Linked DNA regions of Neurospora crassa OR74A. The protein of the gene in region 1 interacts with the protein of each later gene in a pairwise test. Links are inferred from orthologs where the notes say so. Each region holds a gene or a part of one and is shown in the gene's direction. Other genes may lie near its edges. The genes, in order: NCU07438, NCU04724, eat-2 and NCU09572.

Region 1 (4,357 bases):
TGGGATGATAGTAGCGCCCGGGACGGTATCACGGTATCATGTGTGTTGTATGTATGTACTAATGGCGGTCCCTGAGTGGTTCCCTCCAGTCGGAGTCAAGATCCAATGCTCCGTCTTGTCGGTTTGATGCGCTGTTCGTGGGAGGTTTTAGCAGCTGTCATTCAGTGTGCCTGCCGCCGCATACCTACACTAGTAAACGACGCGTGACCACCCCCAGGCGACGTCATTGTCTTACACCCTCTCTTTTAGGCCCCTTGTACGTGGTACGACGACTACAGGTTTCTTCCTATTTATTCCCTTTTGCTCATCCATCGTTTTCTTTTATAAAAGAGACCCTTCTCGACCTTCAAAACCTTCCACTTCTACACCTTACCCATCTTCCTGCAAGACGATATCGAAAAAGTTGATCAAGACTCCTCTCAGTTGTCTCACTACGACCCACTCCTCACGAACCATCAAGACAAGTCATAACATCAAGACCATCACAATGGCCGGCGGCGACGATCTCAGCAAGAAGGAAGTCAACATTCTTCCCCACGACACCCAGAAGGACGAGCAAGTACGTTACCATTTCCTCCCTAGTCTGGTGCCTTGTGTGAATCACAGAAAACAGAAAACTGACTCTTTGGCCAAACAAATAGAAGAACCCCAACAACCCCCTCAACAAGCTCGCTGATAGTGCCAAGGCCACGTTCGAGCAGGCGTCAAAGGCCATGCCCGGTCCCGCCATCTCGCAGAACATCGGCGGCGAGGAGGGCACCAAGGAGGAGCGCAGGGCCAAGGCCGAGACGCTCAACAAGTAAAGATATGGACTCGGACAAACAGGGGAATGGATGGAATGATTGCAATGACTGAATGATACACACACATACACATAACATAATTGAACTGTTTTGACAATTACTCTGATGGATCAGTCCTGTTGGAGCCTAAAGTGACTTTGGTGGTGGAATTGCGCCCAAATGAGAGGGGTCTGGTCCTCGAAAGTTGTCTCAAATGGGAGCAATGTTAGCATGTGAAGGTAGGTAGGTACTTTCATGTCATCCCATGTTCGTACATACCTACACTACTTTCATCCTATATCAACCTGAGCCATATAACCTCCAAATGCACATGGAAGTTGTTGTCATTGCCAGTTTCAACATGTCCCTCAAACACCCAGCTCTCGGAGGAACCGTCTCGTTGGACATCCATCATCACGGCGGGCAAGCGAAAGGTCGGCTGTGCAAGCGGCGGGCGGGAATAGTGGAGGGGTTCAGTTGAGGGATAGGTACCCACTGTTAGTGGACACGGACAATTGACGCCCTATCCACCCCCGGCACAATGTCATGACGCTATCTGGTTCATGTCCACAAGTTGGTCGCTTCCCGTCGGAAATTGGTCATTGTGGCTTGCTGGGGTTTCGTTGCCATCCTGATTCCATTCAGTCAAAGCCAAACAGCCCGGTCGTTGCCGCCGCCGTAGTGATGCAACTCCCAATCCCCGTACATAGTGTAGTTAAGTAGTGTACACTCACTGCATGCCTAAGGAACCTCTTGCCAGGTACACCCGCAATTCAACTTCCTTCTTGTCTACCTTGCAATGGGACTTGCTCCTCTCTCTGTAGTCTGTACAGCTTTAATACATTGAATTTTCACGGCAGATTATAACTAAGCTTGCCAACTGAAGGCTGCTGGATCATTGTCCGAGGTACGTTATTCCCAGCCTGCCGCCGTCTCTTCTACTCAGTATCTGCTTTTGCTCCTTTCAGTCATTGGACATCCGGGCGGCCGAGTCTTCCTTATTCCTCCCACCAACCACCAAACATCCGTGCCTCCAATACCCAGACCTACCTCTAGCTAACCGGCAACTTCCATTGTCTCTTCTAGGCTTCCGTCAACTGCTTTTATTCCTACGCGGCAAGGCCACGGAAGCGCGGAGCTTTACTTTATCTTGTACCGACAAGATACTTGGCCGTCGATAACAAGCGCCAACGACCCGAAAAGCATTAATACGACATCCCACTTCCGACTTGCTACCTCACCCTTCGGTCGACGTTGCCCCCCTCCCCTCGCCGACCGACCCGCCGACCGGATCAAGGCACGACGACTCAGCTTCATAACAGTACCTCTCGGCGCTGCGCCCGCCGGCCGAGTCCTTCTACCGAATTTCCGCATAACGACTCCCAATCTATCCATGCTTTGCTCCCCCTGGACGATCTAAAGGGGACGACAGGCCGCAACCTACCTCAAGCCACTTCCACGCTTCCACCCCCCATATATATTCACGATGCCGTCCATCCTCAGCGACGACGACAAGGAAACGGTCAAGCGCTGCGTGCCCAAGCAGACCAACAAGATCCACGCCGTCGCCGTCGCCAGGCTCTATGTAGCCTACCCCAACCCGTCCAGATGGACCTATACCGGCCTCCAGGGTGCCGTCGTTCTGGCAAATGATCTCGTGGGCAACACATATTGGATCAAGATGGTTGATATCTCGGTAAGTGTGAAAATGACGATTGCGTGGCTGGCCACCATTTGGCTGACATCGGACAGCCCGGAAACAGGGGAGTGATATGGGACCAGGAGATCTTCGACACTTGGAACTACAACCAGGACCGTGTCTTCTTCCATACCTTCGAGCTTGAGGAATGCCTGGCTGGCTTGTCCTTCGTGGACGAGAAGGAAGCCAAGCAGTTCCTCAAGAAGATGAACGACAGGGAAAAGAACGCCAGCAAGGCTACCAGCAAGACACCTTTCGGAGGCGCATCCCAGGCACACCACCACAAGCACCACGGTCTTTTCGGCGGTCTGTTTGGAGGACATAAGCACGCGTCTCCGACAGCCACCCCGCCCGAGTCGCCACGTGCCGCTGCACCGGCAGGCCGTATGAGAGCTGGAAGCACTAATGGAATAAACGGATACAAGCCTCCTTCCGAGTTTGCGACCCTGGATGCTTTCGATCCCCTGTGGAGGGAACACTTCGGTGACGACCTCAAGGCCCAAGGCCTCGACGACGACTTCATCCGCGAAAACCAGGACTTTATCATTGAGTTCTTGAAACAGGAGCAAGCGAAGCAGGGTATACACACGAGCACTCCTCCGCCGCCGCCGCCGCCGCCATCCGCTCCTCCTAATGGTCCCGCAATGAGAGCTCCCCCACCACCTCCTCCTGCTGCTGCTCCGCGCAGTGTCTCCGAGTCGATAACTCCATCGACCTCTAGGAGAGGGCCAGTACCCCCGCCTCCCCCTCCAGCAAGGAGATCCGGCAAGCTCGACACGGAAAACCACCAGGAACCGGCCCCTCCGCCGAGATTTGCTGTTCCTCCTCCCATCGCCGATGCTGGCAAGTTTGCCCACTCTGATCCCCCGCGACATACGCCCTCTGCGCCTGGACCTCCACCACCTCCCCGGCCGCCGAAGACGCCACTCGAAGATCAGGACCCGAGCCAGAGGTTCAGCGTTCCTCCGCCATTCACAGGCCAACGAAGTGTACCCCCGCCGCCTCCCAGCCGTAGCTCTGTTCCTCCGCCACCGCCCCCGAGAAATTCAGCTGCGCAACCTCCTCTGCCTCCCAAGGCACCGGGACCAGCACCTCCCCTCCCGCCTGCGAGCTCACGGCCGCCCCCCATGTTGCCAACTAGAAGCCCGGCACCACCGCAGGCACCGCCTCTCCCGACCTCGAACGCGCCACCTCCGCCGCCTTTACCGGCCACCCAGGCGCCTCCACCACCTCCCCTTCCCGCAACCAGCGCGCCTCCTCCGCCACCACCGGCACCGCCAGCACCTCCGGCGCCCCCTCTACCCGCAGCACATGCTCCCCCGCCGCCGCCTCCCATGCCACCCATGCCCGCACCATCAGGCGGCGCACCGCCTCCGCCTCCGCCTCCTCCACCGGGTGGTATGGGTGGTGTCCCTCCCCCTCCTCCTCCCCCTCCTCCAGGTGGTATGCCTCCACCGCCCGCCCCTGCCTTGCCACCTGTTGACGGCAGTCGTTCGGCCGTGTTGGACGGCATCAAGACCGCGGGAGGTATCAGGGCGTTGAAGAAGGTAGACAGAAGCCAGATTCGCGATCGTTCCGGTGCTGCTGTTCCTGGTGGCTCCGATAGTGGGCCCGCAAGCAGTGGATTGCCGCCCGCTGGAGCTGCGCCGGGTGGCGGTGGTGGAATGGCGGATGCGTTGGCGTTGGCGTTGCAGAAGAGAAAGGAGAAGGTTAGCAAGAGTGGTAAGTATCTGGATTATCCCTGGCTTGTGAAGTGTGAGAGCATGTCGAGAATGATGCTAACACTGGTGGAAAAACAGATGATGAAGATGATGGTGATGATTGGGACTAAGTGCCCGATACCAACAATGACACGGTGAAGAGCCACCGGAAAACA
Region 2 (4,039 bases), on another chromosome or scaffold:
CGTAGGTTGTCGGATTGCCACCTGTGAGCGAGTCAAAGATCATGGCTCTGCTAAAAAAGGAAGCATCCGTTTCTTCACAGTCTTCTCTGCCAGCCCGTGGGTTATTGGCACAAAGCTCTAAGAGCTCGGATTTGGAGTATGGGGGCGAATAGTAGCCATCCTGGTCGGAGGTCATCGTGTCCACAAGCATATGCTCTTGGGTATCGCCTTCTTCCCATGACGAATATCCAACCGCGACATTGTCGTCGTAATCGTAACCATGATACTCTGAGAAGGTTTCGAAAGATGGGAATACATATCCCCTTCTCTTGCCCTTTGGGCAGTCCCCATCAGTGTTTCGGCGTTTCAGGGAAGCTGAAGTAGCCGGATGGTAAAGCTCCGATGGAAGTGCTCCAGGCCCGTCCACGCCGTTGTTGACCGGTGCGGCATCATTGGCCGGAAGGGTTGTGGTAGTTGAGAAGGAGGACACATCACAACTGATAATAAGAACAAGTTAGCATTGCAGGCCAAAACATGAAGCGGGAGAACGGGCTTACGGAGCAGCGGAAGTTGCCGCACTGGAAGGGTCCATCATATTCAGGACCACACTCGGGTCATCTGTGTCTGTGACTGACTGGTCTTGGAGGGACAATGTCCGATTGGGTACAAAAAATCAAGACTAACGATACTGATGGAAGTATAGGCGCGTCACGGTATTGTCGAGGTCGAAGCCATTGGGATCCGATTGGCCTTTGGAAATTGAGACCGGGTGGTGGGAACCGGAAACTGCCTCTGGTGTTGACACGACTGGACTGAAAAGGACATGATGGTAGGAGAGGCCGGACGAGAGTCGAAGACGGAGGACTTGCGAAGACTGGACAACGAAGTGGAAATGTTTGAAATTTTCTCACTGTCCTTGAAAGCTGGCAAGTGCGAGTCGTCGAGGCGTTGATGCCCGCCTGATGATGATGATGGATGTACTTGTATACCTCTATGTATAAGTCGTACTTTCCTATTCTGGACGTCTTCAGCGGGCCCTTGAGGGCAGCTGGTGGGCGGGCGGGCAGCCGGACGGGAGTGAGCCAGGCAGGGAGGGTGACGGCGCCAAGTAATCTGGCCCCGCTTCGTAGCGAACCGAAGCCCCACCATTCGGCACCGGAGCCGAGATTTGTAGGGAGCTTGAGGCCTGAAAGCTAAACGCCAAGGACCGGCGACCGGGGCATTGTCAAGGAAGCATGGCTCCCTCTTTTTCGCTCCTTTATTGAAGGCGCATTGGGTGAGGTTGCTCACGAAAGAGCAATGTTCTGTTGGTGACGATGCGGTGATTTTGATTTTACTCATTTGTTTGAAGGGTTGTCGAAAGAAACACTGGGCGCGACGGAATCCGGTTTCACGGCGTCACACGAAATTCAAGCTCCCTCGTATCGATACCCCGCCATTGTTCGCTCCTGCGCCCGCCATCAGCCGCCCCTCGTCAAAGCTTCAGTCAGAGCATACACAGCATCACATCACTGCTGCGCAGGCACGACTGCTGCTTGCTGCCGTTTACCTTGACGCGCTTTCCTCGACAGATTGCGCTTCTTCTTAACGACAACGAAGAGCTTCCACCGACACTTTCCATCAATAAGTCGTACTAGGGACTTTTCCTGGTCAGGCCATTGTTAGCGACCGACTGCGATTGCGACTGCGACTGCGACTGCGACTGCGGCCATCTGACGATAACTGAACAACTTACCCAAAGTCGACGCGACTGTTTGGCTTGGCTCCCTTTCTTCAACCATACCATCCACCACCACTGCACAGCTTTCTCGACTTCTATCCCCGAGCTTTATTCTTTGCTATCTTCTACGACGAAGCAACCACGGCAATCAGCTTAGCGCTACTCCACGATACAATGTTCTCTTCCTCGGTAAACGACCAAAGGTTCCCTCAATAGCTGCGTCTCGTACATTCGCTAACAGCCCAGAACAGAAGCCCTACACGGCTGTTACGGTCGACATCGAACGTTTGACGAGTGAGACATTCGCCGAAGACGATCTCAGCGGCATCCCCGAGCTTATCGAAGCTATCAACCTCCAGGCTTCGGGCCCAACCGAGGCTGCCCGTGCCATTCGCAAGAAACTCAAATATGGAAACCTGCACCGCCAGCTCCGAGCCTTGACCATCCTCGATGCCCTGATTCAAAATGGGAATCCCCGCTTCCAGCGCTCCTTTGCGGATGAACCCCTTCTTGAGCGCTTGCGCTTCTGTGGCACCGCCGAGCTGTCGGACCCCTTGGTGAAGAAGAAGTGCTCCGAATTGTTTCGCAACTGGACTGTCTACAACCGCACTCACGGCATGGAGCGCGTCGCGAACCTCTACAGAGTAAGCTCCCTTACAGTCTACACTTTGACGTCTACCTGTCACGCTCACACCACTCCAGGAACTTCCCCGTCGCAAGCAAGTCGTTACCCAAGAAAAGTCCAAGGTACTTAAGGAGACCGAGAACCCTTTTGGCGAAGACGAGGAGGAAGAACGCCAGCCATCAGCAAGCACCTCAACTGCCCAGGCCAACACATCAACCACACACCCATCTTCCTCATCATCGCATAGGCCGACAGTGTCCAGTTCCAGTGGCCATTCTCACTCCTTCAGTCGATCCGGCAAGGACAAGTCAAAGAAGAGCAGCAGCAAATCCAAGAAGCACAAGCCATTTAACCTCGAAGCCGAAAAGGATCAGATGACCAGGACTATCGCCGAGGCGTCCATTGCCTCCACGAACCTGATGAACACTTTGCAATCCATCAATCGAGAGAAGGAGCGCATTTCGGAGAACTCAACTGCAGTGGAGCGTTTCGAAAAGTGCAAAATGCTTAGAAGGAACATCTTGAGATATGTACGTGACAGTGTCTCTTGACCATAGCCGAACGGTCTGCTAACAGACGCAGATTCAACACGTCGAATCTGAACAATGGCTAGGAGGCCTTCTACATGCCAACGATGAACTCGTCCAAGCGCTCATGACTTTTGAGCAGCTGGACCGCTCTATTGACGCGGACAGCGACTCGGATGATGATCTGGCTGAGCAAGCACATCTTTATCGGAGTATGTTCCCCTCTCCTTTTTGTTGTTCTCCCTCCCCTGCTAACAATTTCCAGTGGCAACTGAAAAAGCTGCCAAAGCCAAAGAATCCGGTGGTAGCGTACCCGGCAGTCCCCGCGCCCCCGTTGCGGGCATGGCTGGGCTCAGCATCACCAACACCCCTGCGAGCCCACCACCAATGCCTCCTCGTCCTGCGCCACCTCCCCGACCGTCTGCGGCTTCGAAACCCTCAATGTTGAAGCCGCCTACAAGAAGGGTGGAACCGTCTGATGACGAGGATAGTGAGGTGGATGAGGACGAGAACGATCCGTTTGCTGACCGGAATGCTGTCTCGACCCCTAAGGTGGAGAGTGACGAGCCCAAGTGGTCGTAGGCTGGGTGGACGTGGATAGCATGGCGGGGATGAAGTGATGATAATACGACATGGATACGAATTGAGTTGCTACTTGCTTACTGGATAGCCATTTGCCTGTCTAGGAAATATTTTTAGCGACAGCGAGGGACGATAGTAATAGTACGGAGGAGTAGATCGAGCAGGAAAGCGAAACACTTCGCAGCATTATCCTCAGTTGTTTTACCAAGTTTAGCGGTTCAGGGGAGAGGAATGAGTTATACCTTTTTGAGTTCTGGATGGCCAGTTATGAGTGGAGAGCGAGTGGTGTTTTCTTTTCAAGTCATGCCTTCGTGGACGGGAACCATCATTGCCATTCATCGTGCATAGCCAAATGGCGAGGCAACAGACATTCAGCACTCTACTTTCTGCTCCCTCCCTTGCAAAGAACCAAAGCTACATGACCAAGAAAGCATTCAACATCTATCAAGCCCCAACTCCCTCCCCATTATGATTTCGAACTCACCAAAGCAGTCCCATCCCTAACAAACACCCTCTCCCCAAATTTCCAAACCTCCTCAACAACCAACTGCTTTCTGCTTATCTTCCCGCTTCCATCCAGCAGATCCTCAACCTCAACTTCCACTT
Region 3 (2,117 bases), about 1.2 Mb from region 1:
CTCGTTCATCTGCCCATTCGACAGTCAAGTTCTTCCGTGGTCTGTTGAGCTTCCGCCTTGAGGGCATGGATCCACTTCAGAAGACCGACGTTGTCATCAACAGCAATAACGATGTCCAGATCAACCTGCAAAAGCTGAACAAGCTTGTCGAGACCTTCGCTCCTGGCTTTGGCCAGCTCGCTAACAAGGGTGACCTTGGCGACATCGTCGATCAAGAACTCAGCAGGGCAGCCGATGCCATTGCTGCTGCCGTTGCCCGTTTGCAGAAGCTCAAGAACAAACCTCGCGATGGATATACTACCTACGAACTCAAGGTCCACGACTCAATCCTCGATGCCGCCATGGCCATTACCACCGCTATCGCGCAGCTCATCAAGGCTGCCACCGCTACACAGCAGGAGATTGTGCAAGCTGGTCGTGGCTCGTCTTCGCGCACCGCCTTTTACAAGAAGAACAACAGATGGACCGAGGGTCTTATTTCCGCCGCCAAGGCTGTTGCCAACTCTACCAGCACTCTCATCGAGACTGCTGACGGTGTTCTTTCCAACCGCAACAGCCCTGAGCAGCTCATCGTTGCATCTAATAATGTTGCGGCCTCCACCGCCCAGCTCGTGGCTGCCAGCCGTGTGAAGGCCGGCTTCATGAGCAAGAACCAGGAGAGCCTGGAGGAGGCCAGCAAGGCTGTCGGTGCCGCCTGCCGTGCGCTCGTCAGACAAGTCCAGAGCATGATCAAGGACCGCAGTGCCGAGGATGAGCAAGTGGACTACAGCAAGCTTGGGTCGCACGAGTTCAAGGTGCGCGAGATGGAGCAACAGGTACGTGATTCCTTCGAGATTTCCTTCCTCTTTCATTTCCGGTACCCTTGGTCTTGCCTATTATGGTTCATTGCTGACCAATTCATTCTCTCCCCATCACAGGTCGAAATCCTTCAACTCGAAAACGCATTGAATGCTGCTCGCCACAGACTTGGCGAGATGCGCAAGATTTCGTACCAACAGGATGAGGACTGATTGTCCCGCAACACATGGGGTTGTTGAGGTAGTATACTCGGTGGCTTCATTCATCTCGCTGGCTTTACGCTTCAATGCGCAGCGTGGGCACATGCATCCGACCAGATCCCCTCCCTCATTCTGTTTTCGTCCCGCAGCGTCTTCCAAAATCTTCATCAGATGTTTTATATTTCAACTACCCCCTCTGTACCTAGCTCGAATTCCTTTGGGAGTCATCAGGTGTTAGTGTTAAACTCAGTTTCATCCACCTTGTTCTTTTTCATCCACTGAAGTCGTCAATTGGCCGTCGTAACTTCGGCCTCGGATATGTTCCGTTCGCTCTTCGCGCGGGTGTTTGGTAACACAGGCAAACCGCCACTCCCGCTGTCATACTGCTGGCATCCGTCGTGTTTCTTTTATGGCGATGTACATCCTTTTTTTGTGGTTTCGATTTTCGCGTTCGCTGCTCGCTGCTCGCTCGATCGGTCGGTCTGCCAGAAAGTTTACCAGATACGTCAAGAGTGAGTAGGCGACCAAATTTCGTGCTTTGTGCTGCTGAATATCACCCCTTTTCCGCCTCCTCTTCCCCTTCCCCTGTCACGTCAGTCCTTCAGCCCTCGGCTGTCCAATTTCCCTACGTCTGCTTATACGGCCCATTTCACTCCCTCTCTTCGCTTTTTTGTCGCAGCCCGTTCGTTGTCTCGTCATCGGTGGCTGCTTTCGTTCGTGCAGCAAGATTCAGAACGAGAAAATCTCTGGTGGAGGGAGTTCAAGTTCCGTTTCCTTCCTATCGCCTGGTCCATTATGCTGTTTTCTCTTTTTCTTTTCGTTCCCCACGTCAGCTTGAAAGTCTGGTCTCTGTCTCCCTCTTGACTTGCATTTCCTAGTTCTTCCCATTCTGGCAGGCCAAGCTAAAGTCGAACCATCACACTCTCCTGCTTCCCTCTCCGGTCGGTTGGCGTTCACGTTGTTATGCTATTAAAGTGCTCCTGCGGAGTCGTCGTTGTCGTACCAACCAATAGCTTGGATGACGGGTAATTGGATGTACCAGTGCCAAGTATTGGATCCGCTGGTGTTTGCTGCGGGCAGATGGTTGTGATGTCCATGAGCTGTACAATAAGAAGAGAT
Region 4 (3,420 bases), on another chromosome or scaffold:
ATGGTGCTTGGAATGATGTTTTGTTTTGGTTTGAGGAATGGAGAAAAGCGATCCAAAACAAGTCGCGCTGGTAACGACTGAGTCACCGTAAAGAGGGGGGAAAAAGCACTAGGATCAAAGTTTGCCTCCTAGTTCAAAAAAGTGGGAGGGGTTTGTCCGGGTTCTTGTGTTTGTCTTTGGGCGTGAAGAAGCGGAGGGCTGGTTTTAATGAACGATTGAAGAAGGCAGTTGTAGGTAGAGGAGAGAACCGTGACGCAGTGAGTGATGTGATGGGACTGGAGAACCCCAAATACCCCTCCATCACCCTTTCTCAGTGGACGGCGCACGACGGCGCTTTTGATTCCGCGTTGGTGCGTACACTACTATCACAGTACCTCTAAGCAGCGTAGTAGCGCTCTCGACTGGTGGTGTGCCTGTCGGGTGTGTGGCAGTCCCCGGCCGGATTTGCGTCGGATGAACAATTGCGCCAACAACAGCCAGCCAAGTCTGGACTGCTGGCTGATTTCATCATCTACGACGCGCTAGCACACGAGCTCCCGTGACTTATTGTCTTGGCATCCCCTCTTGTTTCTTCAATGTTTCTGCTTTCTGAGTCTTCTCCTCTCTCCTTGACGACGGGCCCCCCTGTTGTTCAAACAGGCAGCGGTGGGCGCAGCGCGGCGTTCACGGTGTTGAACTTCGTCCTATCCAACCAACATTCAGGTGTTGGCTCTCTTCCAGGTTGTTGGACTCGACCACGGCGTGAACCTCGGTCAATCTTCTTCCTTGAAAAATTCCGCCATAATGAGTAATGATGGGATGGATCCTTGGAACACCATCTTGAGCATGGAGTCCTGCTCTTTGTCTGGATTCCGAGACACAGCAGCTTAAGTTGCATGGAAAGCGGGCGCTCACGTCGAACGCGGTGGCTGACTACATGACACGTGAAGAGTCTTTGTGTAACTGAATCTTCCTCTGTATACCAATGGAGTGGCATTTTGACTTGTTCACATTCGCTCTCCTCCTTCAGATGATGCATTGTGCAAGACCTTCCGATTCCCCCGGGACTAGGTGGCTCCACTTCAGGCCGCAAAGATCCACTTTATCGGAGTCAAGCGAGCTGCTGCCTGTCCGATGACGAGGCCGGCTCCGGTAACTCTACACGTGATGGGAACCGGGAGTGCTTCATTGACTGTACCAGGCCTCATCCGGAGTCCGGACACAGCCACTGCTGAGCCACAAATTCAAATAGAAAGGTAACGCACAGACCAAGTCCAGCTCTACTGTCACAGAGTCCGTCACAGCGGCACGGTGCAAGCAGCGGTCGTCACCGCCAGCTCGACGTCAGCGCAGGAGAAGCCGCCATCGCCCATCGCTGGCACGCTGCAGGTCCAGGAAGGCCAGCCCAAGTCCAATTGACCCCATCACCCCGCAAGGCTGCGCCATAGAACCCGGACGCGGTCAAGTCAACACGACATCCCAGATTTACCTAACTTCCAACTTGAACACCATTTGCTTAATCTGGTAATAGCTTCATAGAGGGAGCTTGACACCAACCGTCACAATGCCGGTAAGCGCACCCATTCGCAAGCTCCCAACACCCAGCCGCTATGCGTATAGCTTCCCCAAGCTATACCAGCCAGCCAGCCAGCTACCCCTTAATCGTCAGACAAAGCTTCGTCCATGATCGCATCACCACCACCCACAACACCACGAACCGCTTTGCGCCCAATCGCATTTCTTCGCCTCTCGCCTCACCTCACACACAAATTCCCATTCTCAATCTCTCAACTAACGACGCCACTCTCTAGGCCTACAACTCCGTCTTCAACGCCGACCCCTCCCCCCGCCTAATCGGCAACTTCCCTCTCTTCCCGCTTCGCACCAAGATCCGCGGGCCGATCTACCCTCTCCCCTTCCCGGACCCTCCGCTCGCCGCCAACGAGTCGCCCGACCCGGACTCGGAGTCATACGACATTCTGGACGAGACGCTAGCTCTCTTCCGCGCCAACACCTTTTTCCGCAACTTTGAGATCCAGGGCCCCGCCGACCGCCTGCTGGTCTACGGCATCTGGTACATCAGCGACTGTCTGGGCCGCATCAAGCCGCACTATGGCGTTAGGGAGGCGACGAAGGAAGTGAACAATGCGGCGCTGGATGTGAACTTTGCGTTGCCGGGCGATCCTGGGTGGCCTTTGAATCAGGTGAGTTTTTTTGGCGTAAAGGATTTAGGGCGGAGATAGAATACGGTGAATGTGATGGGAGTAGATGTGGCCCGCGGCGGTGAACAAGAAAATGGATGGCAGCTAATAAGTTTGACGCAAAACAGATGTATGAACCCCCCCGCGACCGTCAAGACGCAGAAGTCCTCCGTCAGTACCTGTCGCAGGTCCGGCAGGAACTGGCGCAGAGGTTATTGGCGCGCGTGTACGACGACGAGACCGAGGACAAGCCGAGCAAGTGGTGGTTGAGCTTTACCAAGAGGAAGTTCATGGGCAAGGGACTCTGATGCGATGCCTTCCCTGTTCAGATGGCGTTGCATGGAATCGTTTAGCGCCAAAGTATAATACGTACTCTACACAAATAATATTTCAAGTTTCCTAGAGTGTGAGGGTGTGTTGGGGCGAGCGAGCAAGACTTTCAGTTGTTGTTGTTTTTGCGTGGTCCGGTTCGATCAGGCATAGATCGAGTACACATACACTTGAAACCCGATCATGAGCGACATGGGTTATATCTCCAGTTGACGTTCGATTAGTAGAATTACTGCAGCTCTATTTCGTGCAAATGGTATCTAAGAGCAAACGAGATCTATGCATATCGGTCATGCTGGTTCTCCTAACTGCTACCACTATCAGACTCCTGCTCATTGTTTGCCCGCCTTTCATGGACAAAGCATAATCATTTAAACCCATGGTCGCCTCCACTCCTCCTCGGCTGGTCGAGTCCACCTACTGTAAGCGAGCCTCGAAACGCTCTAACTGTCTTTTCCTTTCTGACTTTCCCTCGACCTCATTGCTTCCGTGGAAACCTCTGTGTGAGATCTTCCGATGCACGGGGAGAGAAGTGGCATCCTTGAACTCCCATAAATAACTCTTTCCGACCAATCCACTCATGCCGAAGCCGGCGTCGAAACGCTCTCCTCCACCTTTCTCCTCTTAAATTTGCCCTTGGCCGCAATCTTGCCCTCCGCTGGCTTCGCTCTCCATCCAGTAAAGATATATCCATCCGCACCACCGCGCTCCGTCATCAACGGATGCGTCCTGCCCGGCAACACCTGCCACCTCCTCGCCCTGCTAGTCTGGATGCTTGTGCCCAGTAACAGCGTGGGGTTGAGAGGGAACTGCTCGCTTCCCTCCCACTTTTCCAGCTCTTCGGCCGTCTTGCCCTGGATCTCCGCCACGTGTCCGCTGTTCCACGCCGTCCTCCTGGCAACGCTGAAGC

The links.
Region 2: the proteins of NCU07438 (region 1) and NCU04724 interact in binary tests that used the Saccharomyces cerevisiae proteins (3 or more experiments, as listed by UniProt). The link is inferred for Neurospora crassa OR74A from reciprocal best matches to the Saccharomyces cerevisiae genes LAS17 and LSB5.
Region 3: the proteins of NCU07438 (region 1) and eat-2 interact in binary tests that used the Saccharomyces cerevisiae proteins (3 or more experiments, as listed by UniProt). The link is inferred for Neurospora crassa OR74A from reciprocal best matches to the Saccharomyces cerevisiae genes LAS17 and SLA2.
Region 4: the proteins of NCU07438 (region 1) and NCU09572 interact in binary tests that used the Saccharomyces cerevisiae proteins (3 or more experiments, as listed by UniProt). The link is inferred for Neurospora crassa OR74A from reciprocal best matches to the Saccharomyces cerevisiae genes LAS17 and ARC18.

What each region holds. Positions count from the first base shown.
Region 1 is NC_026501.1:624,885-629,241, forward strand, and holds the start of NCU07438 (WASP-like protein las17p), read left to right. Parts: upstream 1-1,467; 5' UTR 1,468-1,689; intron 1,690-1,868; 5' UTR 1,869-2,268; coding exon 2,269-2,478; intron 2,479-2,534; coding exon 2,535-4,203; intron 4,204-4,280; coding exon 4,281-4,312; 3' UTR 4,313-4,357. Other genes in the region: NCU07439 (hypothetical protein), read left to right, coding at 488-559, 642-803.
Region 2 is NC_026506.1:549,971-554,009, forward strand, and holds NCU04724 (VHS domain-containing protein), read left to right. Parts: upstream 1-1,205; 5' UTR 1,206-1,873; coding exon 1,874-1,888; intron 1,889-1,950; coding exon 1,951-2,343; intron 2,344-2,401; coding exon 2,402-2,854; intron 2,855-2,906; coding exon 2,907-3,063; intron 3,064-3,116; coding exon 3,117-3,433; 3' UTR 3,434-3,789; downstream 3,790-4,039. Other genes in the region: NCU04723 (hypothetical protein), read right to left, coding at 1-476, 537-574; NCU04725 (N-acetylglucosamine-6-phosphate deacetylase), read right to left, coding at 3,900-4,039. UniProt on the Saccharomyces cerevisiae protein: Essential for the organization of the actin cytoskeleton, fluid phase endocytosis and vesicle trafficking, together with YSC84.
Region 3 is NC_026501.1:1,867,990-1,870,106, reverse strand, and holds the end of eat-2 (cytoskeleton assembly control protein Sla2), read left to right. Parts: coding exon 1-815; intron 816-917; coding exon 918-1,010; 3' UTR 1,011-1,555; downstream 1,556-2,117. UniProt on the Saccharomyces cerevisiae protein: Required for cellular morphogenesis and polarization of the cortical cytoskeleton. It might act in concert with proteins such as CDC42 and CDC43 to limit the region of cortical patch formation to the cortex of the bud.
Region 4 is NC_026507.1:963,225-966,644, forward strand, and holds NCU09572 (ARP2/3 complex 21 kDa subunit), read left to right. Parts: upstream 1-1,289; 5' UTR 1,290-1,543; coding exon 1,544-1,549; intron 1,550-1,790; coding exon 1,791-2,183; intron 2,184-2,308; coding exon 2,309-2,488; 3' UTR 2,489-2,823; downstream 2,824-3,420. Other genes in the region: NCU09571 (tRNA (adenine-N(1)-)-methyltransferase non-catalytic subunit trm6), read right to left, coding at 3,089-3,420. UniProt on the Saccharomyces cerevisiae protein: Functions as a component of the Arp2/3 complex which is involved in regulation of actin polymerization and together with an activating nucleation-promoting factor (NPF) mediates the formation of branched actin networks.